Sus scrofa: one gene and its partner. The protein of the gene in region 2 interacts with the protein of the main gene of each other region in a pairwise test. Links are inferred from orthologs where the notes say so. Each region holds a gene or a part of one and is shown on either strand. Other genes may lie near its edges.

Region 1 (14,490 bases), on a different chromosome or scaffold from region 2:
AGCTCCAATTAAACCCCTAGTCTGGGAACCTCCACATGCCACGGGTGCAGCTCTAAAAAGCAAAAAAAAAAACAAAAAAAAAACTTTGTGAAAACATGGTAATGATACTATATAAGAAAAGAGCTCAGAGTTCCCATCATGGCTCAGTGGTTAACGAATCCGACTAGTAACCATGAGATTGTGGGTTTGATCCCTGGCCTTGCTCAGTGGGTTGAAGATCCGGCGTTGCCCTGAGCTGTGGTGAAGGTTGCAGACGCGGCTCAGATCTGGCGTTGCTGTCTGTGGCTGTGGTATAGGCTGGCAGCTGTAGCTCTGATTTGACCCCTAGCCTGGGAACCTCCATATGCCTCAGGAGCGACCCTAAGGCAAAAAGCCAAAAAAAGAACAAAAAAAAGAAAAGAGCTAGAGCAGTGAAAAGGAGGACCTACACTCTAGCAATGCTACATTAAAAAAAAAAAACAAATTGAATCTGCTCAGTCACAGATTTTACAAGGACAGACTCACAAAAACATTATCTTTGGGGAGATTTTTTTTTATATTTAGGTTTTTGGAGGATTTTTTATTGGGTTTTTGGTTTTTTTTTAGGGGAGCACCTGTGGCATGCTTTAGTTCCCAGACTAGGGGTCAAATCGCAGCAGCAGCTACCAGCCTACACCATAACAACAGCAACGAAGGATCTGGGCCACATCTTTGACCTACACCACAGCTCATGGCAATGCTGGATCCTTATCCCACTGAGCAAGACCAGGGATCAAACCCACATCCTCATGGATACTGATCAGGTTCTTAACACACTGAGCCATGTTGGGAACTCCCATTTTTCTTGGTCTTGGTCTTTGCTTTTTGCCAGGCCATGCGGCAACTTGATGTGAGGACAACCAGAGCTACAGCACTGAAAACGCCAAGTCGTAACCACTAGACCATGAGAGAACTCCCACAAAAACATTCTTTGATCCTGAAACAATGAAGAATCTTGATATTTCACTTCAAACTCCCTAGCCCTAACTCCTCCTTTAAAATAACTTTTATATTAAACATTTATATAATTTGGTATTTGGTGACTACAATTCTTACAAATAGGGCAACCACATCACACCACAGAATGGATTCTTTAGAAGATAGAAAGTATTAATTGTTATCTGCCTATTGTCTTCGGTTAAGTTATCTTAGTCCAATTTTTATTTCCCAAATCTCAAAACTTGTTTAAAACCCTAATAAAACAAGTATCATCTAAAGAATATGGTCTTCTCCCAATAAACGACTGTCAAGAACAGCCCACTTCTCTAGATGGGAGTCTCGATCTTTTTTGGTTGTGCCCTTATACACCTAGGAGATGCTCCTACATTCCTTTAACAAGTTGACTCAGCAGCAGTGAGCGATTCTAAATGAGCAGGGCAGGAGCTGGGAATACGCAGCTGAAACAAAAAGCCTTTACAGTCTCCTCCCCAAGCCTTTCCACTACCCCACCACACCCACCCACAGTAATCCAAAGACTGCAAATGCCCTTTTTTTGTTGTTCTTTGCCTTTTCCAAGGCCACTCCCGCGGCATATGGAGGTTCCCAGGCTATAGCCACCAGCCTATGCCAGAGCCACAGCAACACAGGATCCGAGCCGCGTCTGCGACCTACACCACAGCTCACGGCAATGCCGGATCCTTAACCCACTGAGCAAGGCCAGGGATCGAACCTGCAGCCTCATGATTCCTAGTCAGATTCGTTAACTGCTAAGCCATGACATGACAGGAACTCCCCATAAAGACTGCAATTTCTTAAAGAGACATAAAAATTCTTTTCTTATCTGGTAGACTTTGTTCCTTCCATTCTCCCCACCCCACCATTCTGCTGTCCTATTAGCAGGCGACCTGGCTTACCTTCCCCATGTTTATCAGTGAACTGGAAGGCCTGAACTAGTCTCAGAGTCTCATCCACGGAGCGGCCAACAGGAAGGTCATTTATGGTGATCTGTCGAAGAATACCTTTATCGTCAATGATAAAAAGGCCCCTAGAGAGAAAACAGTCAAGGTATGAGGGAGACGGCAGTTTTAGAATCGGCTCTGTTAGAGCAGAGCAGAAACTGAAATGGGGTGGTCTCTGGCACTTACATGGGCCTTCCTTCCCCTTAGGCCCTCAGGCCTAAAGAATGAAATGAGACCATGAACGATCAGTGATGTACGTCAATTCCCTCCACAAAACAGGAAAAAAATGAAATCAGAATTCTCTACAGATCAGGGCTCTACCTTTCCAATAAAAACCTTGAGCCAATCAGATGACTCTCTTGCTGACTGTCAGTCAGCTCCCGCGCAGGTTTTTACCTGAATGAGATGCCTTCGTCGGCCTTCAAGACCCCGTAGTCCTGCGCAATGGTGCGCTTGGGGTCTGATATCAAGGGAATGTTCATGGGTCCCAGTCCTCCTTGCTTCTTGGGGGTGTTGATCCTACAAGCAAAAAAATCAATCACATTCATTCAAATTCTTCTGTAGCAAAAGCATTAACTGTATTTATTCCTTCCCATTTCCAACCTTCCTAATCTAACTCCCCAAACGCTGCATGCTTTTCCCAGCAAAGTAAACAGCTAAGGACAATTAAAGTCACCAGGGTACATGCAGTCTCAACCCAAGCTGCCAGGTAATAAGAGAACAACAAGAGGAAGTCAAAACACCTTTGCACTCCTTCCATGAGGAGCCAGAGGCCAATACTTGAGAAAGTCTATTGCCAAAGCTGCCCAGTCCCGGTCACTGCTCAGTTCAAAAGTCCACGTGCCAAATGGACCAAGAGATTTACCAGGCCAGATGACAGAAGTGAGAATCCACAGAAGCACCAATCACTTGGCAGTTGAGTTTCTTAAATTCTTCTGCCCTCTCACTGAAAGCAATGATCTCCGTGGGGCACACAAAGGTGAAGTCAAGTGGGTAAAAGAAGAACACCACGTATTTTCCTGGGAAAAAAAAAGGAGCCACAAATTAGCCTTCGAAACAGACTTCTTGCTTCATAGACAATGAAAACCTAAAGACATTTTATTTTTGTGTGTGTGTGTGTCTTTTCTAGGACCGCTCCTGCAGCATATGGAGGTTCCCAGGCTAGGGAGCCAATCGGAGCTGTAGCAGCCGGACTACACCACAGCCACAGCCACACAAGATCTAAGCCGCGTCTGTGACCTACACCACAGCTCACGGCAATGCCACATCCTTAACCCAGGGATCGAACCCGAAACCTCATGGTTCCTAGTCAGATTCATTAACCACTGAGCCACGACGGGAACTCCCAAGAAGCCTTTTTAAGTTGATTTCCTACGCGGCTCAGTGATAACCAGACTAGTAACCGTGAGGATGTGGGCTCCACCCCTGGCCTCGCTCAGTGGGTTGTTAAGAATCCGGCATTGCCATCAGCAGTGGTGTAGGTCCCAGACCCGGCTTGGATCTGGCATTGCTGTGGCTGTGGCGTAGGCCAGTGGCTATAACTCCGACTGGACCCCTAGCCTGGGAACCTCCATATGCCACAGATGTAGCCCTAAAAAAAAAAGAAAAAAAAAAATTTCTCCTAGTAGGTAACAGGATTTCTAGCTGGAATTTTACTAAAGTTACTCTACCAACCTGCCAGGCAGCCTCTCACCACACCTAATGGGCTGAGCTGTTTGGAACAATTTCAAATATTCACTTATTTCCAAATAGCATCAATGCTTGAAAATCATAACTAGCTGTTCCTTTTTGAACTTCACTTTGAAAGCTAACACCATTCATCTAAACAAACTTCTCCAGGGCTCTGCCTAACAAGCTTCAGCAGGTCAAGCCCTGGCGGGCAAAGAGGAGCTCTTCCAAAACCTCATGGCTTTACCCTTGGGCCTGGGTCACCTCCCTAAGGTGCTACTTACTTTGTTTGCCAGGAGAAGCCTCCCTCCATAGGGCCCCACTGACCTGCTCGTGTTCCAACCCCTATGTGAGATGTGCTAAGAAATCTAGTCATAAGATCTACCCAAAAGCTAACTCTAGGAACTGACTGCTATACCACTACAAAAGGTATACTTGACACCTGAGTTTCAGATTTGCATTCCAAGGAATCTATATTTTCAATTGTCTCAGAAGGCCCTGCTGCTCCAGGATTGCAAGGTTTAAAAAAAAAAAAAAAAAAAGGCCTCATGAGAATGCCAGGTGTCTACAATAAACTATAACAGAAAGGAGCTGTTCCAACTGTGACATCAACTCTTTTCTGAGGGCAAAGTAGTCAAAGGAATGTGCCTAAGCTCTCTGCCTAATAATACAGCAATTGTGACACATGCATTTCACAAACTGAACAGGCAGACTCATAGTTGCCACTATTTGAGCACTGAGATTTTAAATTGTTGAAGGCATCTTACAACAAGATAAAGAGACTGAAAAGCAGTACCAGGAAGATAATCAAGATAATATGTCCAGACATAATGAAGCGGTTGGGACTCAGGACATCTACCCTCTGACCACTGAGGATAAGGACCACTTCAACTCCACAGGAGACAACAGCCTCCTACCCCCGAAGACCTAAGAGACTTTAAAAATCACTTTACAATCAAACATGACAAGAAATTCAGAAGTTAAACAAGCCATCTCTAGACTGTATTATAATTCCATATATTGAAGCGAAGAGAATTACTTTTACCTTTGTAGTCAGATAGGCTGATATCTTTGAACTGACCATCTGGCATAACAGCAGTTGCTTTGAAGTGGGGGGCACGGTGCCCAATTTTGGCATTTCCTGAAGACATATTGCTATCAGCTGGAAAAGATAAAAAAGCAAATTAGAAACAAGCCTTTCTTTCTAGATAACCAGCAACCTTCATCTCCGTAGAGACTTAACTGTAGAACAATAAAGGAATTGTCCAGTGGTCCTGAATATACATTAACCTTTAGAACGCTAAGAAGCATGAGGCAAGCTTTCCAACTTTTCAAACAAAAACATTACAGATCTCTGAATCTCAGCTCATTTTCATTTGAAAATAGCAATTTCTTTGTAAACTGAAGTTAAACTCTTGTTTTTTTCTGAACCATCACTTGTCCAATTGCATGTTCTTCTGTATTTTCATTAGACAGGTGCACAGAGAGAAGGAGGTGGAAACTCCCAAACCTAGACCCAAATGCACAATGCCATGAACACTCCGTGAACACTGAGCACCCGACTCTGAGAAGCTGCCATGTTACCCTTTTCTCTAGCCTGAGCCTTTGGAACACGGGAAGCACACTTAACCTTTTCCCGGTAGATGTGCACACACAGCACACACCCTAAAGCCAATTCAACTTCTGAGCGGCAAGACCAGGAGTCTGGCATGTGCTCAATTTCAAAACTTTAAGTGTTGTGTTTAAGGCCCAAAAGTCCTTTCAAAAATGGGTTTCTGACCTTGGGACTAAGATCCCGGGGCAATAACAAGTAGAACAAGAGTCAATTTCTTATGAAAAAGCAATGCTGCATTGGATTCACCCAGGTCAAGGCCAAGATAAGACGTCAAGATTTAACCCCATAAGCCATCGATTTGAAAGACCCAAAGAACTAATTTTTCAAGTCCCAAAGTTCTTGGTTCATAAAACCACAACCAAAAGAAACGTTGTGAGCATCGACTGTCAAACTTTTTTACTGGGTTAGCACCTTTAAATAATAAAACAAACAAGAAAAAACAACCAGTAAGACACGAAGCAACTTGGCAACCAAACATAGTATATGACCCTAACACTAACGGCCTTCTGGTCCAGACCTGCTTTTCCGGGTGCCCCCACGTCCACTAAAGCACAACCAATGGGGGGGGGGGGGAAAGGCTGCAGGACTTCCAGCCGACGAGGTCCCCTCAGGAAAGCTCCCCTTGAAGTTCCCCGGAGAAAACTACGGCCCCCCCCCCCGAAAGGCCAATTCAAGTGGTTTCCTGCCACCCCCATCGTCCCTCCGCTGCACTTCGGAAGCACCAGGAGTCTTCACTAACGGCATTTAGAATCACCACAAACCCCATTCTGCACATGGAAAAAGATGGAGAAGGGAATCAGGACCCACGGCTACACTGGTGAGCAGGCACAGCCTCTTCCCCTCCTACACGACGGACGGGCAGTCTGTTTCTGACCAGTTTCTGAATCCGTCTTAGAAGCTTCGGGAACCCGTCCGCCCCGTAGGGGACCCCGTCACCACCCACCCGCCCCGACGGCCCCGCCAAGCCAATCAGCGCCCTCTGCTTGAGTTGCCGGGGGAAGAGGGGACGCAGGGCGCGGGCGGCGTCGGGGTTCAACCAGGCAGCTGTCCCGCAGGCAAAGGGGGTCCCATGTGAGGCTCCCTCTCCGGCAGAGCGTCCCCCCAGTTAAGCCGGGCGGGCCGGGAGGAAGAGAAGGAAGAGGAGGAAAAGGCAACGAGAGAGGAGTGGGGCGCTGCGGTCGGTCGGCTGAAGCCGCGCCGCCCACAAACTCACCAGTCCTCAAGCAGAAGCCACCGAGCGCAGCCAGGAAGCAGACACGCGAAGCACGCGCGGGGCGCTGCCTTTATAGCCCGTGAGGCTCTCGCGAGAGTCAGGGCGGGCCGGGGGTGCGGGCGGGGGAGACGGAAGGGGGATCTGGCCCCAGCACCGCCCCGACCCAACTCGCCCCGCCGGGATGACTCAGCGCTTTCCTTCCCTGGGGGCGGGCTCGGGTGGAGACAGTACCAATCCCCTCCTCGCCTTCGAGGGTTGAGGTGTCCGCGGAAGGCACCTTTTAGATCAATCACTTTCCTTCCCGATGCCTCCGTGAATCCAAGATTTGAGGCGGGGCGGGGGTGGGGGAGTCCGTGCGCCTTGCCCTTCAAGCCCAAACCTGGGTAAAGGTCCTCACTGCTGCCCACGGAAGACCCCCCCCCATCGGGCCGGAGAAAGATCTATCCAAATATTTCTCAGATATTCCGCCCAGATTCCCACAACCTCTGCTCTAGTGCTGATCTCAGTAACCCAGATTGCTTAGACAGCCTCCCTTAATTGCTCTGTCTGACAGCAGGATGGCTGCTTTTCCATCTCCCTCTATGGGTTCCTACCTCTGCCTTCCCTTCCCATCCATTCCACTGCAGCTGGAGGGACTCTGAAATCTGACCATATTACTCACGCCTCTAATTTGTGGTTCCGAAAAACTGATCCTGTATTCTTGAGTTAAAACTCCTCACTGTCATTCTGTGTGACCTTCATGCAAGAGTCTTAATCTGTTAGCCTTACTCTTCTCCCCTGTAAAAATGGGAATGCACCACGAGTGTGGCCAAAAAGAAAAAATAAAAACAAGTAAATCCTTAAAAAAAAAAAGAAAGGGAATGCTATTAACTCTTTGTTGAGATCATCTCTGTAGTTTATTTAGCACAGTACCTAGTTCTTTGCTCCTCTTTGTAACACCCAGAACAGAGTGTAGCTGTTTCACGCCTTCAGGCTCTTGCTCAAGCACAAAGAACCTGTTCCTATTTGGCCTAGAGAAAACGTATCTGAAGATAGCTGAAGCACTACTTCCTCTGGAACTCTTCTTTCACTCATCCCCAGAATTAACCATTCCCCTTCATGCCCAAACGATAACAACAACAAAAACCTTTTAGGTCATGGCTCAGTGGTTAACGATTCCGACTAGGAACCATGAAGTTGCAGGTTCAATCCCTGGCCTTGCTCAGTGGGTTAAGGATCCCGCGTTGCCATGAGCTGTGGTGTAGGTTGCAGATGCGGCTCGGATCCCGCGTTGCTGTGGCTCTGGCATAGGCCTGTGGCTACAGCTCCAATTCGACCTCTAGCCTGGGAACCTCCATATGCCGAGGGAGTGGTCCTAGAAAAGGCAAAAAGACAAAAACAAAAACAAACAAACAAAAAAACCCACAAACCTTTAAAGCTAATTTACTTGTTTATGTGTTTACCTCTCCTTATTAGACTGACTTTCTGGAGGGTAGGGTTTGTTACATCCACCTCTGATTCCTCAAGTCACAACATAACAGCTGATATAAAATAGGAATGTTAAAAAAAAAAAAAAAAAAGGAATGTTTAAGAAATAATATTGTGTTCCCCTTTCTGCCCCCATCCCCCATTATTCTCCTAACTCCATTGGACCTTTATAGCAGGATAAGAAAGAGGGAAGTGCTGTGTCATGCTGGCTGGGCATCTCAATATTTGGAGGTATTTATCATCCTGCCATCAACAGAAGTGATTTTTTGTTTTTTCTTTCTCTGAGGCAGAACTGTTACTTGGGCATTATTCATTTCCTTTTTTTTTTCTTTTTTTTTTTTTTAATTGCTGTGGCCAAGGCTTTAGGGCTTTCTGGGGCCAGGGTTCTGCCTGTACCACAGCAGTGACCCGAGCTGCTGAGTGACAACACCAGATCCTTAACCCACTGCACCATAGGGAACTCATTTCCTTTTTTTTTTTTTTCCCTTTACATGTCCTTTTTTAATTTATTATCTTGAGTGTCATTATTGGCTCCCATTAGAAATTGTATTCACTGGTCTATGACTGATCCCAGGTGTCAAAACCAGCAGATATTGGATGTCCACAGGAAATCTGTAAAGCAATCATAGTATTCAGCTCATTTTATTTATTTATATATATATATATATATATTTTTTTTTTTTTTTTGGTCTTGTTTCGCCATTTCTTGGGCCACTCCGGCAGCATATGGAGGTTCCCAGGCTAGGGGTCGAATCAGAGATGTAGCTGCCGGCCTACACCACAGCTCATGGCAACGCCGGATCCTTAACCCACTGAGCAAGGGCAGGGATTGAACCCAAGACCTCATGGTTCCTAGCTGGATTCGTTAACCACTGCGCCACGACGGGAACGCCTCAGCTCATTTTAGAAGCAGGAAAGGGTCATAGGAACGTGCTGTACATGTGTATTCTGACTGCTCTGTGATTACCACAATCCAACCTGGATTTTTTTTTTTAATAGTTATTTCCCCAATACAATTTTTTCCTACTGTACAGCATGGTGGCCCAATTACTCATTTCCTTCTTGAGGAGGCAGGGAGACCTAGAGGGTGAGAGCTTAATAGTGGATGGTTATTATTATGGGTAGGTTAAACCAACAACACATAGTCCTACTTCAGCCAAAAGAAAATTTCCATTTATTGTATCTACCATGCGCCAGGCCCTGGGCTGGGCGCTTAGGCTTACATGTCTCAGTTAAGAACCACAAGAGTGGAGGGAGTTCCCATTGTGGCTCAGTGGAAGCAAATCTGACTAGTATCCATGAGGACGGAGGTTCAATCCCTGGCATTGCTCAGTGGGTTAAGGATCCAGCGTTGCCATGAGCTGTGGTGTAAGTCACAGGCGCAGCTTGGATCTGGCGTGGCTGTGGCTGTGGCTATGGCATAGGCTGATGGCTACAGCTCTGATTAGACCCATAGCCTGGGAACCTCCATATGCTGCAGGTGCGCCCCTAAAAAGCAGAAAGAAAGAAAGGGAAAGAAGAAAGGAAGGAAGGGAGGGGGAGGGCAAGAAGGAAAGAAAGAAAAGAAAGAAAAAGAAAGAAAAGGAAGAGAGGGAGGGAGAGAAGAAGGAATACGCAAGATGCGTTTCCTTCAGCAATACCCTTGGCACTGTGTGGTCCTGATACTACTGCATACCGTAGTCCATCGCCTCCTGAGTCCTGCATCCCTACACTTGCCAGCACCTTGTGATGGTGCCTTAATTCTCCCACTGCCTTTCTCTGTTCAGTCGAGCAGGAAACTTTCGTTCGTACAATGTCCTTCGACACCATCCGACCCTCACGTAGCTTAAAGCAGTAGTTGCATCACTGCACTGATTTGCTGTGGTAAACACTGTTGACAGACTGACCTACCAGCCATCGCCCCCTTCTTCATAACTAACTAGAAGCAACAGGTGAGGGCAATTCAGTAAGCGTAGAAAGCAGATGTCCTAGAATGGTGATCATTTTACAGCAAGGACTTACTAACCTAAGAGCAGCCTGTCATGAGAAAAATTATAAACCATTCAAGTGAAACCTATGAACCATTCACGTTAAACCTACAAACTAGTAAAGCTAAAGGCTTTAATGTGACGAACAACAAAGGCAATCATGGAAATAAAATCCCAGGGCAGCTCTCAGCTATGGTGATGAGGACACCCAGTTGATGCAAATTAGGCTTATGCTAATTTTTGTAATTATTGTTGAAAGAAAACCACTACATTTAACAGCTCTTGAAGAACGCTTGAATCCTTTAGTTTACAAGCATTCAATTTGTAAAATTATATTTGGAACACGCAAAGACCTGCAGATACCAATTTGAGAACCATTGCTATCCAGAATAATATGTTTGCTAGCATTGAACACGGCTTAAGTAACAGATTAAACTCAGAGAGCAAGCTCAAATAGGAGATTAATTTTTGCCATTTCACAGTTAAGCAGTTGAAGGCTGTTATCACGAACCCAGACTTACACTTTTCTCTTCTCAAACCCCTAGCATGCAGCTTTTATTCTTACACAATGTTACAAAATGTCTGCTCTACATCCAAATGCATCCATATATTCCAGGCAGGGAGAAGGAAAAAGGCAGCCACAAGTGTGGGGGGGACTCTAAAGAGGAGGCCGAGCAGTCCCAGAATCCCTCAGGTTGCAAAGCATTTACTCAAGTGTGTCACGTGGCTGCTTCTAATCCCGAAGGGAGGCTGGAAATTGTGTCTATCAGCTGAGATTCTGTTAGGAGAAAAGGAAGAAAGGATATGCTGTTAGACAGGCAAGGGATCTTGATAAATTTGAAAGGAGAGACAGGATTCCTGACTGTGGCCTATAAACATATGGAAATGCTAGGAAAAAAAAAGAATCTGAGTTGTTATTTTTTTTTCCCTACCCTTACTAGAGGTGGTAATTTGTTTTATTAAATTGCCTTCTATTTATTTGATCTATTTATTTGGGGGGCTGCATCTGTGGCATGCAGAAATTCCTGGGCCAGGGATTGAACCCATGCCAAGGCAGTGACAACACTGGATCCTTAACCCGCTATGCCACAAGGGAACTCCTTGCCTTTATTTATTTATTTATTTATTTATTGTCTTTTCTAGGGCCACACCCACAGCATATGGAGGTTCCCAGGCTAGGGGTCTAATCAGAGCTATAGCCGCCAGCCTACACCAGAGCCACAGCAACACGAGATCCGAGCCATGTCTGCAACCTACACTACAGCTCATGGCAACGCCGGATCCTTAACCCACTGAGCAAGGCCAGGGATCAAACCCAAAACCCCATGGTTCCTAGTCGGATTCATTAACCACTGAGCCACAACAGGTACTCCCCCTTGCCTTTATTTATAATAAAGCCCTCTGTGTGGCACATCTTCAGAGGGTAATATTCACGTTATATTCTATGTGAATCGTGCCCCTGGAATTGGGGAACACAGTCACGCTATTTCTAATAATGCTTAAGGTATTGCAGACCTTTCATAAAGTGATATGTAACTTTAATTGGTTACTTATACAATTAAATATTTACATATGAACTGTTACTTGCTCAAAAAAATATAGAACCCTAGCCCTTCAGAATTGGAAGAAACCCCTGTTAACTAATTTAACAATTAAGTTCCCACTAGGTACTATGTACTACCCTAGGCTCCTCCATGCCCTGCACTGACCATGGAGCTTCACATCCAACCTTCCACCCATTACAAGAATTCTTTCATCAGGAGTTCCCACTGTGGCACCACTGAAACGAATCCAACTAATGTCCATGAGGATGTGGGTTCTATCCCTGGCCTTGCTTAGTGGGTTAAGGATCCAATGTTGCCGTGAGCTGTGGTGTAGGTTGCAGACGCAGCTCAGATCCTGCGTTGCTGTGGCTGTGGCGTAGGCTGGCAGCTGCAGCTCCAATTCAACTCCTAGCCTGGGAACTTCCACATGCCACGGGTGTGGCTCTAAAAAGCAGAAGAGAAAAAATTCCTCCATCGATAGGCCTAACAGTTCCCGGGCCTTGGCTTGAACACCTCAGTGATAGCACCTTTCTGCCTGGGTTACCTTCCTCCAGGTGTTGGTGTCCTTGCTCTCTGTGACCCCCAGAAGTGGGCAGTGATTCAGCTGTGGAGGACTCTGTAGAACACAGGGGAACCGTCTCCTGTCTTTGTCTCCCCATCAAGTTCTGCAGTAGTTTGGGACACAAAAATAGATAACTGAGATCCCATGTAACTTCCTTCAGCCCTACTTTCCTCTTCATTAAAATGCTATGACAGGAGTCCCACCGTGGTTCAGTTCTCACTGGGTAACACCCCCAACTAGTATCCATGAGGATACAGTTTCCAACCCTGGCATTGTTCCGTGGGTTAAGGATCCATCGTTGCCACAAGCTTCAGCGTAAGTCACAGATCTGGCATTGCTGTGGCTGTGGTGTAAGCTGGCAGCTACAGCTCCAATATGACCCCTAGCCCTGGAACTCCCATAAGCCTAGGCTGTGGCCCTAAAAAGACCAAAAACAAAAACAAAAAAACACGGTATGACAGTTATCTCTGACATAGATTAAGTGCTGAACACCAGATCATTCCTGGAGTTCTCTTGTGGCTCAGTGGGTTAAGGATCCAGCATTGTCACTGCTGTATCTCAGCTCAGGGCTGTGACTCAGGTTCAAACCCTGGCCCAGGAACTTCCATATGCCACGGGTGCAGCCAAAGAAGAAAAAAGAAAAAAACACAAGATCATTCCTATCACTGTCATTATCTTCTGTGTTAAAATTTGTTGGTTTGCTTTCAACCCAAGATTTGAGTCCCTCAAAAAATTGGAGTTCCCGTCGTGGCACAGTGGTTAACAAATCGGACCAGGAACCATGAGGTTGCGGGTTCGATCCCTGGCCGCACTCAGTGGGTTAAGGATCTGGCGTTGCCGTGAGCTGTGGTGTAGGTTGTAGACGCGGCTCAGATCCCGCGTTGCTGTGGCTCTGGCGTAGGCCAGTGACTACAGCTCTGATTCGACCCCTAGCCTGGGAACCTCCATATGCCGCAGGAAGCGGCCCTAGAAAAGGCAAAAAGACAAAAAAATATATATATATATACATATATGTATATATGTATATACATATATGTATCTAAGTAGCTGTTTATCTAAGCTTTTTTTTTTTTTTTTTTTTTTTGGCTTTTTAGGGCCACACCCAGTCTAGGGGTATAATCGGAGCTACAGCTGCTGGCCTAGACCATAGCCACAGCAACATCGGATCCTTAATCCACTGATCAAGGCCAGAGATCGAACCTGCAACCTCTTGGTTCCTAGTCAGATTCGTTTCCCCTGCGCCACAACAGGAACTCCTGTTTACATAATCTTTATTTGAATTTGTCTAATCTTTACTTGAAATTACAACTTACTTCCACTTATATTTTTGGGTTTTATTTATTGATTTATTTGTGGCCACACCTAGAGCATGCAGAAGTTCCAGGGCCAGGGTTCAAACACGTGCCACAGCAGCAACCTGAGTCACAGCAGTGACAACACTGGACCCTTAACTCACTGAGCCACTGGGCAACTCCCATATTTTGGGGTTTATCTTTACAAACCAATTCCTACATTTTCAATCAGATTCCAAACCTTAACGTATGATTTGGTATTTGTTATCGTTCCATCATTGTCCTGTTTTATACTAAGCAGTTGTTCATATGCTAAATGAGGTAGGTATGTGTCTAGAATATGCAACTCTTGATTCTAGACTTAATTTTTTTTATTTAATGAATTTTGTTACATTTACATGTGTACAAGCTAGTTAAGTTTTAACCCCTCCATACCTAATTAAAAATCAACATCAAATTGTTGGTTTTCCTTCTCTTTCTCCCATCTTCCTGTCCCTCCAGTTTTAGGAGAGCTGGAATGAATGCACAGATACATCCAGACCAGAACAGTAAAGGGAAAATGCCCAAGCTGGATCAACAATGGTGTTGTTGTGGGGTTCCTTGCAAGGCTCAGTGGAAATGAATCTAACTAGCACCCACGAGGATGCAGGTTTGATCCCTGGCCTCACTCACTGGGTTAAGGATCCAGCATTGCCATGAGCTGAGGTGAAGGTCAAAGACTCAGCCAGCAGCTACAGCTCCGATTCGACCCCTAGCCTGGGAACCTCCATGTCCCGCAGATAGGCCCTAAAAAGACAACAAACAAACAAACAAGGGTGTAGCTGTAAGATAGAGAAGCAGGGGGACTTGCAGCTTACATTTATAGAATTAAAGTTGGATTTTTACCTCTAGCCACCTCACACCTCAGAGACTAATGCTCAACCCCTCCCCTCTTTCCCTCCAACCAAATCCTTATAAACATAAACATTTATCAGTTATTTCTCAACTTCAATGTCATTAGCATGTTTTTTTGTCTTTTTAGGGCCACACCTGCAGCATACGGAGGTTCCCAGGCTAGGGGTCTAATTGGAGCTGTAGCTGCTGGCCTATGCCACAGTCATGGGAAAGCCAGATCCAAGCCGAGTCTTGCCTGCACCTCAGCTCATGGCAATGCCAGATCCTTAACCCAGCGAGTGAGTCCAGGAATTGAACCTGCATCCTCGTGGATGCTGTCGGATGCATTTCTGCTGGGCCCCGACGGGAACGC
Region 2 (14,774 bases):
ACCTTGTTTCCTGCTGGAATACGTTTCCTTCTTCCCCGCTTGCTGACGGATGGGCTCTAGAACCCAGCTCCTCCGCTTTATCGCCGGCTCTCCTGAGCGGCAGCACGTGGGGTTGAGGTGGACGGAGCTGGACTGACCGGTCAGCGCGTCCTGCCCCTCGGCTTGCTGCAGAACCCGGGCCGCAAGCCCAGCTCTGAAACCAAGGCTGCCGTTAGAACCGTGCTCATTAGGGCTTCCGACCCCGCGCCCGCCGCAGCCCCCACCCAAGCCACCATCTCACCACCCCCCGCGTCGCCGTCCTGACCATCTCTTTGTCTGGCCCTGTGACCATTTCCTTTTCTCTAAGTTCCCATCCTGTCTGTGCCCAGTTCAGATCTTTCACGGATGCTTTCCCGCCCTTTCTCTGTGCTCCCGGGCAGTCAGGCAAATCGCCCCCAACAGTTGTGTTCAGCCTCCCCCTCTGGCCCCTGTTCTTTGTGTCCAAACAAAGACAGGCAGGAGATTGTCTCCGGCCTGGATCTCTTCCCGCCTCTGCCTCGGAGCCTGTGGTGCAGAGTCAGGCTCGGGGAGGGAGGCTGCATTTCCTTGACTCCAGGCCCCGCACCTCTTCACCTGTAGCGGTTCTTGAATTGGGCTCCATCTCATAACCTGTCAGACGGTTGATGTGGCAGACAGTCCTTCTGTTAGCCTCTGAAACGGGCTTACAAGTGGGAGAAGAGAGGAGGAGGAGGGAGGAGGAGATGAGCGGTGAGAGAGGGGAGCCCCTGGCTGCTGAGCTCAGGGGGCCACTGGGCCACGAGTCCTGTAGCTGCTCTATGAGGTGAAGCCCCGAGTGCCTGTTGAGGTGCGGGGCGTGCAGATGCCGAGGCCCCGTGGCCGTGGCCGGCCCTGCCAGGGGCCCCCCGTCCAGGGAGTGAGGGACTGAACAGGCCACGTGGGGACCCAGGGAGGGGTGAGGCCTTCCACAGGGAGCCGCTCGTGAGCGCCAGGACATCCCTGTCCTTCGCACCCACCGTCCCTTCCTTTCCTCAGTGAGTCTGTTCCAAGGTGCCAGGCCTGGCTCAGATCCCTTAGCGAAAGCCCCTGCGGGCAGAGGTGCCTGGGGAAACGAGGAGCAGTGGTGAAGCGGTGCCTCCTGCCCTGAGCTGGTTTGGTTTTAAATCTGAGCCCTACCCCACGGCTGCCTGCACCCCTGCCCTGGGTGCCCTCGGCAGGTCAGCCTCCTGGGGGCGGGGGCTCTACTGACCCGGCGGCCCTGCCCCCAAACCCCACCACAGCTGGAGTTGGCCACGGCCAAGAACGACATGAACCGGCACCTGCACGAGTACATGGAGATGTGCAGCATGAAGCGGGGCCTGGACGTGCAGATGGAGACCTGCCGCCGGCTTATCACCCAGTCTGGGGACCGGTAAGCACACCCCCCCCCGCCCCGAGTGTGGGCCCCTCTCGGACGACGAGCCCTGAGACCCTCCAGCAGTGACTTAGGCACTTGTCACGAGGCTGCCCTTTGAAGGTTGCCTCGTTTGTCTGGCCCAGGCTGGCAGCTTTTACTCCCTCAGCAGTTGGATACTTAGGTCCACTCACGGCTGCGCAGCCCAAACCTCCCGATGCCGCCAAGGCTGGTGGTTCCCCCACTCAGAAAGGCAGTTCTCGCTGTGGCATGGTGGGTTAAGGACCTGGCATTGCCACAGCTGTGGCGTAGGTCACAGCTACGGCTCAGATTCGATCCCTGGCCCCAGAAACGTTCATGTGCTTCCGGTGCCACCCGCTGCCCCTGCACCCCTTAAGGGCAGCTAAGAAGTCCCCCGGTGGCTCGGTGGGTTAAAGATACGGTGTTGTCACTGCTGTGGCTCTGGTTACAGCTGTGGTGCAAGTTTGATCCCTGGCCCGGGAACTTCTGCATGCCATGAGTGCCACTGAAAAAAATAAGAAAAGCAGCTAAATTCTGACAAAGAGTGCAAGGGGGTGGGGGCAAAATTTTATCTAAAGTTAGAGCCACAATTTGTGCCTTTGACTCTGTGTAAGCTTTGAAAAAAATCGTAAAACTAGGAGTTCCTGCTGTGGTGCAGTGGGTTAGGAACCTGACTGCGGCGGCTCAGGGGGCTGCAGAGGTATGGGTTTGATCCCTGGCGGCACAGAGGGGTAAACGATCTGGTGTTGGCACAGGTGTGGCATGGTTCAGTCCCTGGCCTGGGAACTCCCATATGCTGCACTTGCAGCCATGAAATTAAAAATAAATAAATAAATAAATCACAAACCCGCTATAGATAAGCATGGAGTGGGGGCCACAGAGCCAGGGCACTCAGCCGGCCCCTCTTAACTGTGACTTCACATCTTTCTGAACTCAGCCTCTATTCAGCCTCTCCTGGTCCCCAAGTTAAAAGTGGGAACTGTTCCCCCCATCGGGGTGGAGTGGGCAAGGTTTCCTCTTCCCTCCCTGCCGGCCTTGCCCTGCATCCGCATCCGCCCTTGTCCTGTAGTCCTCCTGCCCCGCCTAAGATGTTATTCACCTGCCTGCCAGGAATAAGGCCAAGGGTGCAGGATGCCAGCTTGTCAGGATTCTTGCATGCCTGGAGGAGGTTACAACTGGTGTTTTTTTCTAGAAAGTCTCCTGCTTTCACTGCGGTCCCGCTTAGCGACCCGCCGCCACCGCCAAGCGAGGCTGAGGACTCCGATCGCGATGTCTCATCTGACAGCTCCATGAGATAGGGACCTCGCGCAGCGGGGCCCTGCTGGGACTCACCGAGCCTGGCCCCTGGGACCGGGCGCTCCCCCGGCTTCCTCCCCTGGTCCTCGGCCTCTCTAGGGTCCTGGGGTGCCTGGAGTGAGGCTCAGCCCGCCCTTCCCGGGCGACTCCCTGCACAGCCGGCTGTCCTCCTTCATGCGTGGGTGTCCGCTACTTTCCCATCTTTAAAATGCTGCCAGAGTGCTCGCGACCCTCACCCCGTCCTCTGAGTAAGGAGTGTGATTGTCGGCTCTTCCTTCCACCCCGGTGGTCTTGAGCCAGCGGACCGTCCTGATTCTGTTCTGGTGCTCACTGGCCCAGGTGCTGGTACGGCCTGAGCAGCGGGAGAGGGCGTCCCTCTGTGTCGCAGGGGCAGGGAACAGGACTGGGCGGCTCTCTGCCCATGGACAGTGGAGTGACGCGGCCATGACCCTTCCCTCGTGGAAGTGCCACGCGTCTAGGCGGCCTCTGGGGCCGATGGGGTGCAGTAGCATGAGGGGACAGGAGCTCCTGCAGTCTCCCAGTCACTGCCGAGGGACGGAGAAAGGTGCACGTGAGCGTGTGTGGGCGCATGTGTGCTCCTGTGCTCAGGGGTCTGTTTCTTCAAGCATCAGCCGAAGATGCGCCTCCTCCTCCTCCTCCTCCTCGTCTGACACACGCCGAGTGAGAAGGTGGCCCAGACTCAGAAAAGCTTGGAGAAAAATGGGGAGACGTGACTGAGGGTACCTCGGCCTTGCTGGCTGAGGCAGGCTGTGCTGAACTGACGTTTGAGTGGAATCTAATCCTAATGAAACTGGCGAGTATTTATTGAACGCTTTGGTGTCACTGTTTCCAGCAACTTTTCGGTGGTGGCTCTGGTCCCTGTTGTGTGGTGTGCACTGGTGATCATTGCACAGACACACAGGGTTACAAGCAACTTGCCCAAAGTAATGGCACCTCAAGTAGCAGAACCAGGGCCTCCATCCAGGTTGTCAGTGCTGTCTCTGCTTCTTCCCACTAAGCCTGTGCGCATTCGCAGGTGACAGAAGACATGGAAATAAAACCACCCCAACCTTTCCCTTGGGCTAACCTACTGTAACTTCTCTGAACAATCTCTGAGCTGGCACTGGCACAGCTGTACCACAGATGGCAATCTCTTGGGCACTGAGGCTCACAGCTGTGACAGGGCAGAGCTGGAATCCACTCCTGGCAGTCAGGCCGTAGCCAAATGGACTTCCTGTGCCAGTGCCCCCCTCCAGGGAGCTGCAGACAGAATGGTGTCTTGGGTGCAAGCAGCCAGGCCATTCCTGGGTTCAGCCACGGCAGTCTGGAGCTGTAGCACCCAGAGGCCTCACTAAGGCAACACGAGGACAGGTGGCTCTTCAGAGGAGCCCAGGGTGGAGTTTCCTCAGCAAGCTCTAGTTCTCCTTGGCCCCAGCCCGGCTTCCCTCCTCTTTATCCCAGGCTCTAGAGTGAGAACGACAGGAGGCTGGGTACAGTGTACTTTATTGATGGTACATGACGAGGCAGGTCTCCCTAAGCCCCTCCCCTTCTTCCGGGGGTCTGGGATGGAAACTGGAAGTCAGGAGATGCTCGGTGTGTTGGGGGATCGAGTTGGGGCTGTGACTCCCCAGCAGCTGAGGGCCTCTCTCCTCCTCGCGTGCTCTTGCTGGGGTTGGTGGTCCAGGGGCTCTTACTCCTTGGAGGCCATGTGGACCATGAGGTCCACCACCCTGTTGCTGTAGCCAAATTCATTGTCGTACCTGAAAGGAGAGCAAGAGTTAAGTGTGGTTTTCCCGAGCAGCCACCAGGGGGCACCAGACTTGATCACATTCTGAAGCATCATCCCTCCCCACCCGCCACATCCCCCAGCACCCTACCAGGAAATGAGCTTGACGAAGTGGTCGTTGAGGGCAATGCCAGCCCCAGCATCAAAAGTGGAAGAGTGAGTGTCACTGTTGAAGTCACAGGACACAACCTGGGGAAGGAAGAGGGCCAATTACGGAACCCAGTCTTGGTCAGTGGGGTCGTGTGGACACCAAGTTCCCTGACCTATCAGTACCTGGTCCTCAGTGTAGCCCAGGATGCCCTTGAGGGGGCCCTCGGACGCCTGCTTCACCACCTTCTTGATGTCATCATATTTTGCCTGATGAGGTAAAAACCGATGGTTATTCAAGTACCAATCCTACAACCCCTCAGCCCCCCAAAGCTGTTCCAACCCAAACCTACAGGTTTCTCCAGGCGGCAGGTCAGATCCACAACCGACACGTTGGGGGTGGGGACACGGAAGGCCATGCCAGTGAGCTTCCTGGGGACACGAGGAAGCAAGCAGAGTCAGCACCACCCCTGCTGGTGCCCCAGACACCCAGGGCAGGAGAGCAGCAAAGAGCCTCACCCGTTGAGCTCAGGGATGACCTTGCCCACAGCCTTGGCAGCGCCGGTAGAAGCAGGGATGATGTTCTGGGCAGCCCCTCGGCCATCACGCCACAGCTTCCCAGACGGGCCATCCACAGTCTTCTGGGTGGCAGTGATGGCATGGACCGTGGTCTGGAGACAAGGAGGGGGAGTGAAGGCCCTGCCTAGCGCTTGTGACGCCTCCTCTGGGAAGAACTAAGGGACACAGTGCTTGGAACCACCCCACCCTACCCCTCCTCTGATGTCCTGAGCCCCTACAGCTCCGGGCTGAGCTCTGGGAGGGGAAGGATCCAGTCCTGGGTGAGGACAGAACGTGCTCTGGCTCAGTCCCCATCACCTACCATGAGTCCCTCCACGATGCCGAAGTGGTCATGGATGACCTTGGCCAGGGGTGCCAAGCAGTTGGTGGTGCAGGAGGCATTGCTGAAACGAGGGAGGCAAGTCAACGGGCAGGTCCACGGGGTCCCGCGCAGCATGACCCCCCCCGCCCCCTCCACCAAGCTCACCTGACGATCTTGAGGGAGTTGTCATACTTCTCATGGTTCACGCCCATCACAAACATGGGGGCATCGGCAGAAGGGGCAGAGATGATGACCCTCTTGGCCCCACCCTTCAAGTGAGCCTGCAGCAGAGGAGCAGTCAGACACCCGGGCTTCCCCTTTCCTGGTCCAAGTCAGCCTCCCCCAGTCTCCCCGCTACACCAACCCCGCGGTTAGGTCCCCTCCTCTTTCGGTTCCCTGCCGCTCACCCCGGCCTTCTCCATGGTCGTGAAGACACCAGTGGACTCCACAACATACGTAGCACCAGCATCACCCCATTTGATGTTGGCGGGATCTCGCCTAGAAGGGAAGACAGGACAAAGTTCAGGGGCGCGGGGGACCACAGACCCAAGGTGGTCACCCCGTCCCAGCACCACCTCCTCCAAGGCAAAGCTCTTCCGGTTCCGTCTTCCATACTTACTCCTGGAAGATGGTGATGGCCTTTCCATTGATGACAAGCTTCCCGTTCTCCGCCTTGACTGTGCCGTGGAACTTGCCGTGGGTGGAATCATACTGGAACATGTAGACCTGGGGGGGACGAGGGAGGGCATCAAGGGGCTGCGCCCTGGCAGGCTCTGTCCCCGCCCCCGCCACGGGGGCCACTCACCATGTAGTGGAGGTCAATGAAGGGGTCATTGATGGCGACAATGTCCACTTTGCCAGAGTTAAAAGCAGCCCTGGTGACCAGGCGCCCGATGCGGCCAAATCTGAGGGGGACAAGAGGCGAGGAGGGAGGAGTGAGCTCTCCTGGAGATGTAAGCAGTCCCAGGCCCACGCGCCCGCTGTCAGCGCGGGCACTTTCCTACCAGGAGATCTCATTTCCTCCTCCTCGCACAACCCTGCCAGACCAGCCTGGCTTCCCAGCACAGCCACAAAGTGAAAAGCTCCCATCCTGCCCAAGAGGTGATGAAGCTCCGAGACAGGCCCACACCCCCTGGTCATCTGAAATCTGTTAAGGGGTGACAGGGTGGTGCACTGCTGCTGCCACCTACAGTCTGGGCACATGGCCGGCACATGGCATTCCTCAGGCCCACTGTCGGTAAATGCTTGTTCCTATCTGGCCAGCTTCAGGCCACACCCTCTAGGGAGCAAAATCTTGCACACTTGGCATCACCCAGCTCAAAGGGCAAGAGCAAAGGTCAGAAGTTAACTGGCCAGGGAAACCCCCCCCCTTCCCCAAGTCCCTCCTACAAAAGGGAAAGCCGTTTCTCAAACCCAGAATCCCGGGCTTCTGATTTGTTAGGAACCTGTCTTTGTTAGCTCTTTTCCCAAAATCAGGAGTGGGAGCAATAGACGTGTGGGGAGCGGGGGGGAAGGAGAGGGAGAAGCCCAGGCCCCCAGCTGCAGAAAGGTCAGGCAGCTATATTTAACCCCAGCTTAGGGTGGAGTGGGGATCTGGTTTCTGGAAGAGGGGATGGGGAGAAGGGCAGGATTCCCGAGGCTCACGGACATCTAATCCTCCTGGTGACCTTTACAGCTTGGCCTTTAGGGTGGGGTCAACCCTAGGCATGGATGGAAGGAAGCAGCTTCAAGGAGCACTGATGCAGAGACAGGGGCTGCGGCTCCGCCGGCTCCGGGAGCCATTTTGTGGAAAATTTCTAAGTACCCATGACTCAGCTCCCCCGGCATGGCACCAAGCCAACGCTACCACACCTCTCCGGAGAAAGAGAAGGGAAACAACCCGGAAACAACCCAAGACCACCCCCATAAAGCCCCGTTTTTGATTCATCAGAGAACCATCCAGAAAAAGCATCCCCTCATCCCCGGGGGGGGGAATCTGGCTGGGGCTTGAAGGGATGCTCTAGGGTTAGTTTGCTAAGAGCTGAGGTCCAGCTGACTAAGAAGGGGAAAGCGTGGCCGGACCTGGGTTACCGGATAAAGGAGACTCCACCCCACGAGGCAGGGGTAGAAGGCTTAGTCATGGGCAAGTAAGGAGAAAGATTGAAGGACTCAGGAAGATTTCCTAACGGCGGTTCATTCATTTCCTTCCTAGTTGCAACATGGCGGCTAGGTTACCGCAGATGCCCCCTCCCAGCTGGTTCTGCACAGCAGCTGTGCCTCCTGCATCCCGGGGCTGCCCGGCTGGGGGCACTGGTTGCGGCTGGGGGGATGGGCTCCTCCCCTTCACGTGACCCCGCAGGGCGCGAAAGGAAAGAAAGAGCCCCAGCTGGGGGATTAGGGGATGGGGCCAAAGCAAGAATTGGAGACTCCAGGGCTGTGTATCTGCGGCAGGTGAAGAGGAAGGCTCCGCAGAGGCGGAGTTACAGAACGCGCAACAGCCAGGGATGGGGGACACGAGGCCTTGCGAGGGCCTCCTCCAGGTCCGAGCGCTGACCTTGAGTTCTCCTTGGGGGTGGGGTACGACCACCCCATCCAAGTCCCCCACATGCTTGCACAGACCCGGTAGGGCGAGACCTGCGGACGCAATTTGGTGGGGGCTGCAGTACTTACTGCCCCACCCTGCCCCACCCCCTAACTCACCCGTTCACTCCGACCTTCACCATCGTGTCTCAGGGACGCGGCTGCCGGCAGAGGAAAGAGAACATTAGATCGCGGGGCAAAGCGGCTGGAGCCCGACGGTGCCCTCCCCGCCCCTCCCCCAGGCCTCCATCCTCGCTCTGCTCTTCTGCACGTCCTTCCTCCCCCTCAACCCGCAATGCAGGGGCCCGGCCCGGCGCAGCCACAACTCCGGCTCCAGCCGGGGCCCCGCACCCACACTCCCAGACCGCGCACGGCCCCCGGTCCCTTTCGGACCAGTCCTCGAACCCTTGTGGCTCCACTCCGCCAGGCTTTACCTGGCAATGCACGGAACACACGGCTGTCTGTCGAACGGGGAGGAGCAGAGAGCGCAGGGGAAGGCTGCAGCCGGAATTTATAGGGCAGGGGGCGGGGCGGGGGCGGGGTGACGTGGGCTCGCCTCGCCCAGTCCTAGCTCCAGCAGCGGAGGCCTGAGCTACGTGCGCCCGTAAAGTCGCGAGTAGCCGACCCCCACTTCTTCTTTTTTTTTCCTTTGGACCCGCCTGGTTCTGCCAATGTGCACGCGCCACACAAGTGGGCTGAGGACGGAGAGGGGGAGGGGACCGGTGATGCTGCCTGGCCCGGTTGGGGTTGTACTGCAGGGGGCAGTGGACTAGGAGGAGGGGGCCCTGGCGAAAACTGAGGACACCCAAGGAGCCAGGGACGTTAAAGTTGCTGCAGGGATGTAACGGGAGGATATGGGGAGCCAGTGGGATGGGAAATTGGAGCGGAACCCGGGGTTGGGGGCGCGGCTCGCAGCTCGCGGCTGCAGTCTCCCCTACCCCCCCCCCTTCAAAAGCTGAGAAGCGGGAAGATTGAGGAACTTCTCGAGGCTCTTCGGTAGTGACCCAGGAACTACAGAGGAAAAGGCCCGGGAGGGGCCTCCAGCAAGGCCCTCTCCAGCCCCCTTCCCCTTTCCCCCCTCCCCTTCTCTTGGCTCCTGGCCTCCCCGGGCTGGGGACCGCGGCTGGCCCTGGCCAGTGGGAGGCCTGGAGAGGAAGGAGGCTCGGAAGGAGGCCTGAGAGGGAAGTTTCTGCACTGAAGGTCACGATGCCCTGCAGGACAGGCAGCCTGGACATCTGAGAATCGAGCAGACAAACCAGGACCTGTGTGCACCAGCTGCTCTCCCCCAGGCCCTGGCTGGCTGGGGCCTCAGCGAGGGGACAGGATCGCTTTGGGGGGCTGGCCAGGTAGAGGCTCAGAGGTCTCCCACAAAGTTGCTCCTGGGAAATTTGAGGGCTGAGCGGCCCGGGCTGGGAGACAATGTCCCTTTCACCCCATCCAGCCCTGGGCAGAGCAGGACGTGAGAGCGGAAGTCCCTCCCCATCCTGGGACGTGCAGGCCAGCCCTGCAGTCAGGGCCTCCCTTTCACTGGCTGCGCCCAGGGGATGTTGGGGGCAGGGTGAGGTGTCCATAAGAGGGAAAAGATTGGGAGGTCTTGGACACAGGGTGGGGACAAGGGCCCCTAGCCCCTTCCCAGACGTGATGTGGAGGAGGAAATCCATTCTTCTCCAAGACCAGTCCCTCAGAAGCTGGGGCTGGGCCAGGTTTGTGAGCAGAGGATGAAAGATGGGTTGGTTCTGAGGACTTGAAGTGTTGAAGGTTCAGGGAAGGTGGGGGGAGGGTGGAATGGACGTTGCCCATTAGCAGGTGCTGGTGGAAGGAATTGGGGCCTCTTTGCTGGCCCAGCGTAACCTGAGACCAGCCCCCTTTTCCAGCTGAAAAGCCTGTGGCTAAGTTTAGCCCGCAGGATGATAACCTTTGCTTAAAAGGCAGAGAGCACGCTGCCCCGCACCCCGACTCAAGCCTGTCCTGTCCCTTCCCTTTCTGGGACTGCCCTCCTTCCTTGGGGCCCCAGATCCAAGGCTGGCTGTTGCTGGCAGCCATGTGCACAGTCGGTGCCCAGGCTTTTCAAGAGCGGCAAGAGCAGGGACTGAGGGCACTTAACGGTGAGGGAGGCGGGATGCTGGGCACTGAGGAATCTGCTGGGGAAGTGGAGCACCAGGATCATATACTCTCCCTGGCAAGGGCCTTAGGAGCCCCTCCACCCTCCTCTGCTCCCCGAAGCATGTTCCCCTTTGCTGCATGCTTGTCATTGTTCATTACTGTCCTTTGCTGAAAAAAGAGGGAGCTCAGTGCCCAGGGAGCATGACTGACGCAGTCTGCTGTTGTCATGACAGCAAAGACACCAGTGTTGTCATGACAGCAGCCTCACTGCCTCCGCTTCAGGTGACTCAGCAGAGAAATCTTGGGGGGCAGGAGGGGGTGAACAGGGCCTGCAGCTGAGGGGCTGACATCCTGCAGACCCTGTAAACGTGGTGCCAAATCCCTGGGGGATGGTCTCTACACTGTCTAGAGCTGGAATTAGGGGCACAAGCCAGGGTGGGCAGGACAGAGCAGCCAGCCCCTGGGGAGGAGGGTTTCTCAACTTCAGCACTCCTGACATTTTGCATTGATGACTCTTTGCATCAGACCCGTCCTGTGCATTGTAGGATATTTAGCAACACCCCTGGCTCCTACTCATTAGCTGCTGTTAGCACCCTCTCCTTGGCTGTGACAACAAAATAGTCTCTGGATATTGTCAAATGTCCCTTGGAGGGCAACACTGCCCCCAGATTGAGAAGCGTGGATCTGAAGCCTAGGCACTGCCTAATTCTGCACAGCGGAGCAATCCTGCCACGTGTGCAGGGTGTGGAGGTTGAGAGGCAAGGACGGGCCAGCAAGGGACTCGAAGCTCATCAGATGCTGGCACAGGCCCCAGACTCCTGGATCAATAACCCTCTGTCTGCTGCCTGCCTCTGGGCTAATGTGGGATGAAACACAGACAGGCTTAGGAAAAACCTCTAAAAGTATATAAAAATATTTATTCATTAGAAAACAAAGAAACTGGCAAACACACATTCTGGAAAACAACTTGACTTGGTTCAGTTAGGCTTAGTTTAGCAAAGCCTAACATTATAAAGACCATTTACACATTAAAAAAAACCAAGGAGACAGGTAAACACGTATTTTACAAGGGGAATGGAATTCAGGGTCACTCCACAAGACACCTGCAGGGCTGGCTGGGATGGGAACAGGTAGGACACCTCTAGGATCTTTGTCTGTGAGCAGATGCTCGGCGGATGGGGGTGGTTTTCTTGGGTGTCTCATCTTCCATCATCTCTGCTGACAGTTCTATTCAAAAGAATTGGGGGAATGAGACAAAGCTGAGTCACAAAGATGGTGAAAAACGGGTCTTAAGAGAACGAATGGGACAGTCCCTGACCACACTGCCCAGTGGGGGGAGGACAACGTGGGGGTGGGGGACTATGTGGCAGGCCTGCCATCAAAGCAGGCCTCCCTGCAAGCTGTGCTCGCTCTGGGCCAGGTCCAGAAAGGGGCACCGTACCCTCCTCGCTGGACTCGTCGCTCGAAAAGACAATTCTGAGCTTCTTTTTCGAAACTTGCTGCTGGGTGTTTGGATGCCGACGGGTAGTACGGCGGGGCTCAGGTGTGACAAAGTCATCGTCTGAAGCTGCAGAGGCCAGATGCCGGTGTCTAGAGACTAGAAAAGGCAGAGGCATGAGTTGGAAAAAGAAAAAAGGAACTTCTATCAGCGAGGAGGCCCCGCCTGGTCTCTCCCAAGGCACTGCCTCACATACCAGCAGGTAGTTTCTTGGCTGATGGGGCTCTCTGGCTGCCTCCTTGGCCCATCTCAAATTCCTCTATTGCATCCAAACCTCTGGTGTGACAGGCCCGAAGCTTCTGCTCAAATTCATCTATTACAGCCTGGAGGAAAAAAAGATTAAAAGTAGGCCTGGAAATAGTTATTTCTTTTTTTTTTTATCTTTTTGCCATTTTCTTGGGCCGCTCTCGCGGCATATGGAGGTTCCCAGGCTAGGGGTCGAATCGGAGCTGTAGCCACCGGCCTACGCCAGAGCCACAGCAACGCGGGATCTGAGCCACGTCTGCAACCTATATACCACAGCTCACGGCAACGCCGGATCCTTAACCCACTGAGCAAGGGCAGGGATCGAACCCGAAACCTCATGGTTCCTAGTTGGATTCGTTAACCACTGAGCCACGACGGGAACTCCAGGAAATAGTTATTTCTAAGATTAAAAAGAAACAAGGCAGTGATAAGATGTGGAGGAACTTTAAATCTGTATTACTAAGTGAAAGAACCCAACTGAGCAGGGTACACGCTGTGATTCCAATGCTGTGACATCCTGCGAAAGCCAACGCTGTGGTGACAGGAAAAGGATCAGTGGCTGCCAGGGCTGTAGGAAGAGGGCTGAACGGGGAGCAGAGGGCGCTGGGGCAGGGGGACTACTCTGAACGAAACACACAGCACTGGGCACAAGCTATTCATCCAAACCCATAGCGCGCACCCCAGGAGTGAACTGTCCTGGAAACCGTGCTCTTTGGGCGCTGTGACATGTCGAGGCAGGCTCACCCACTGTACCATAGGTCTGGCTCTGGCCTCTGGCGGGGGTGTGGGTAACTGAGGAGGCTGTGCCTGCGTGGGAGCATGGGGCCTTTGGAGAAACTATACCTTCTACTTGATTTTGCTTTGAACCTGAAATTGCCCTTAATAAAGTCACCAAAAAAAAAAAAAAAAAAAAAAAAAAAAAAGGAACAAAGAAACAGGAACTGGAAAAAGATCCCAGCTCAGGTCATTCTGGTTACTTGGTTGCAACCAGCTGGGTTTCCTCAGAACAGCGGCTGGAATGCAGCAGGCGCCACTCACCTTGCCCTCCGGCTTGGCTCCACGTCGCAACTTGCCTACAACTGACAAAAAGGCACTAAAGATGGACTCGTCTGATAGTTTATCTCCAAAGCAATCAAAGTTGTCCAGCATCTTACGGAGGCCCCGCTCTGTGAGGGGCAGCTGCGACACGCAGTAGGCCAGGTCCCGGTACTGCCTCTCAGTTCTGCGGGTGGGAGGGCGTGGTGAGGAGCAGGGGGATGGAGGGCAGGCCCATGCCTGCCCCGCAGTCCCTCCCAGCCCAGATGCCACCGTGCGCTCTTTTCCTCTGGGCACAGAGAACCCTCCAGGAGGCAGCATACCGGGCTGTGCGGAACCGCTGACAGAGCTTTTCCACCAGGCTCTCGGTCTGCTTGTCCTTGGTGATGTAGGAGAGGAGCTGCCTGCAGGAGGGGAGATACCAACGGGCTGTCTCCAGGGGCGGCTCCGAGCCCAGCCCCAGGCCCGGCCCAGCCTCTGTCATCCTCCTGCCTCAGCAGCCGACTCTTCCCTGCCCTGGCCCGTCCCTGGCCTCTCCTGTCCCTCAGGGAGGGGTCCTTGCCACCCTCCTGAGCAATTTTCACTGTGACTGGAACTTTAGGACAAAAGCAGCGATCCTCTAGTACTAGTATGTGCTTACCCCCATTAGGAACTTTCATCTTTTTTTTTTTTTTGTCTTTTGTCTTTTTAGGGCCGCACCCACGGCATATGGAGGTTCCCAGGATAGGGGTCGAATTGGAGCTACAGCTGCTGGCCTACACCACAGCTCACAGCAATGCCAGATCCTTAACCTGCTGAGTGAGGCCAGGTATCGAACCCATAGCCTCATGGAGGAACTTTCATCTTACTGAATCTTCTTAAGGACTAATAAGGGGCAAGCATTTAGGGGCTCGTTCTATACAGGAGGAACAGGCACAGAGAGGCTGTCACTGCTAGAGTCCACACGGCTACAGAGACACAGAGCCGCAGAGCCAGAATTCACACACAGGTTTGTCTGAGTCCTAAGCCTGCGCTACATGGAAAACGTGTCCCAAGGCCCAGGGAAGCGTACTTCATGATGGTGTGGAAAGGCTCTTCCTCCACCCCTCCCTCGGGAGCCGACAGGCGGCTGATGATATCTGGAAGGAGGTTATAGATGGCGTTGCCCTGTAAGACAGACAGTCACGTCACAGAGAGGAGACCTGCGTGTTCCCTTGGCAGCACACCTGAGGCTGCTCCCACCTCTTACCTTGTGGGAAAGCTCATTAAAGAAGTTCTTGGCCAGGGCAGCGATCTGAGGAGCGGGGTCGATGAGCAGCACGGCCATCTCGCTCACCTGCCCCTTCACCTTCACCATATCCTTCAGGATCAGGTGGGTCATCACCAGCCCGGCTGTTTTACGCACTTGCTGGGCCGGGTCCCGGAGGCTAGGAATGAGATCTCAAGTCAGTGGGACCAAGACCATGGGCTACACCCTGACGCTGCCCTGGAGGCCCTCAGCAGGAATCTATGGCCTCTTTGTGTTTGGCTGCACCTGTGAGATGTGAAGTTCCCAGGCCATGGATGGAACCCGCACCACCGCAGCAACCCGAGCTGCTCCAGTGACGGCACTGGATCCTTAACCCACTGTACAAGAGAACCCCACTATGGCCTACTGTGCCATTCTAGAAGCAATTAGAGGTTTTCTAGATTTAAAAGCTGGGTTTAAGGAAAAAGACCAAGCCTATTACCAAGGCTTTAGACAAGAGGCGTCAATCCCTTTGGGGCCACACTCAGCCAGGGCCTGCGCAGGTCAGGTATCAAGCAGACGTTCAAGGGAAGGCTGGGGACCAGGGGACATAGTCCTGGTGATTCTCGCCGACCTCACCCCAGCCTCTGGGGCTGCCAAGGACAG

What was found.
Region 1: the proteins of GAPDH (region 2) and PRDX1 interact in a two-hybrid assay, tested with the Homo sapiens proteins (2 studies listed by BioGRID and IntAct, with this or other methods). The link is inferred for Sus scrofa from reciprocal best matches to the Homo sapiens genes GAPDH and PRDX1.

The regions. Positions count from the first base shown.
Region 1 is NC_010448.4:165,839,846-165,854,335, reverse strand, and holds the start of PRDX1 (peroxiredoxin-1), read right to left. Parts: upstream 6,947-14,490; 5' UTR 6,413-6,946; intron 6,344-6,412; exon of another isoform or gene 5,973-6,343; intron 4,747-5,972; 5' UTR 4,736-4,746; coding exon 4,630-4,735; intron 2,936-4,629; coding exon 2,782-2,935; intron 2,436-2,781; coding exon 2,313-2,435; intron 2,003-2,312; coding exon 1,872-2,002; intron 1-1,871. UniProt on the Homo sapiens protein: Thiol-specific peroxidase that catalyzes the reduction of hydrogen peroxide and organic hydroperoxides to water and alcohols, respectively.
Region 2 is NC_010447.5:64,125,486-64,140,259, forward strand, and holds GAPDH (glyceraldehyde-3-phosphate dehydrogenase), read right to left. Parts: upstream 8,536-14,774; 5' UTR 8,454-8,535; intron 8,181-8,453; 5' UTR 8,163-8,180; coding exon 8,140-8,162; exon of another isoform or gene 8,047-8,139; coding exon of another isoform or gene 7,994-8,046; exon of another isoform or gene 6,366-7,993; coding exon 6,266-6,365; intron 6,187-6,265; coding exon 6,080-6,186; intron 5,959-6,079; coding exon 5,868-5,958; exon of another isoform or gene 5,742-5,867; coding exon 5,626-5,741; exon of another isoform or gene 5,543-5,625; coding exon 5,461-5,542; intron 5,252-5,460; coding exon 5,100-5,251; exon of another isoform or gene 5,013-5,099; coding exon 4,934-5,012; exon of another isoform or gene 4,851-4,933; coding exon 4,767-4,850; exon of another isoform or gene 4,683-4,766; coding exon 4,585-4,682; intron 4,468-4,584; coding exon 4,398-4,467; 3' UTR 4,195-4,397; downstream 1-4,194. Other genes in the region: IFFO1 (intermediate filament family orphan 1), read left to right, coding at 1,278-1,408, 2,604-2,709; NCAPD2 (condensin complex subunit 1), read right to left, coding at 11,264-11,349, 11,564-11,719, 11,817-11,943, 12,905-13,088, 13,225-13,305, 13,953-14,047, 14,130-14,307. UniProt on the Homo sapiens protein: Has both glyceraldehyde-3-phosphate dehydrogenase and nitrosylase activities, thereby playing a role in glycolysis and nuclear functions, respectively.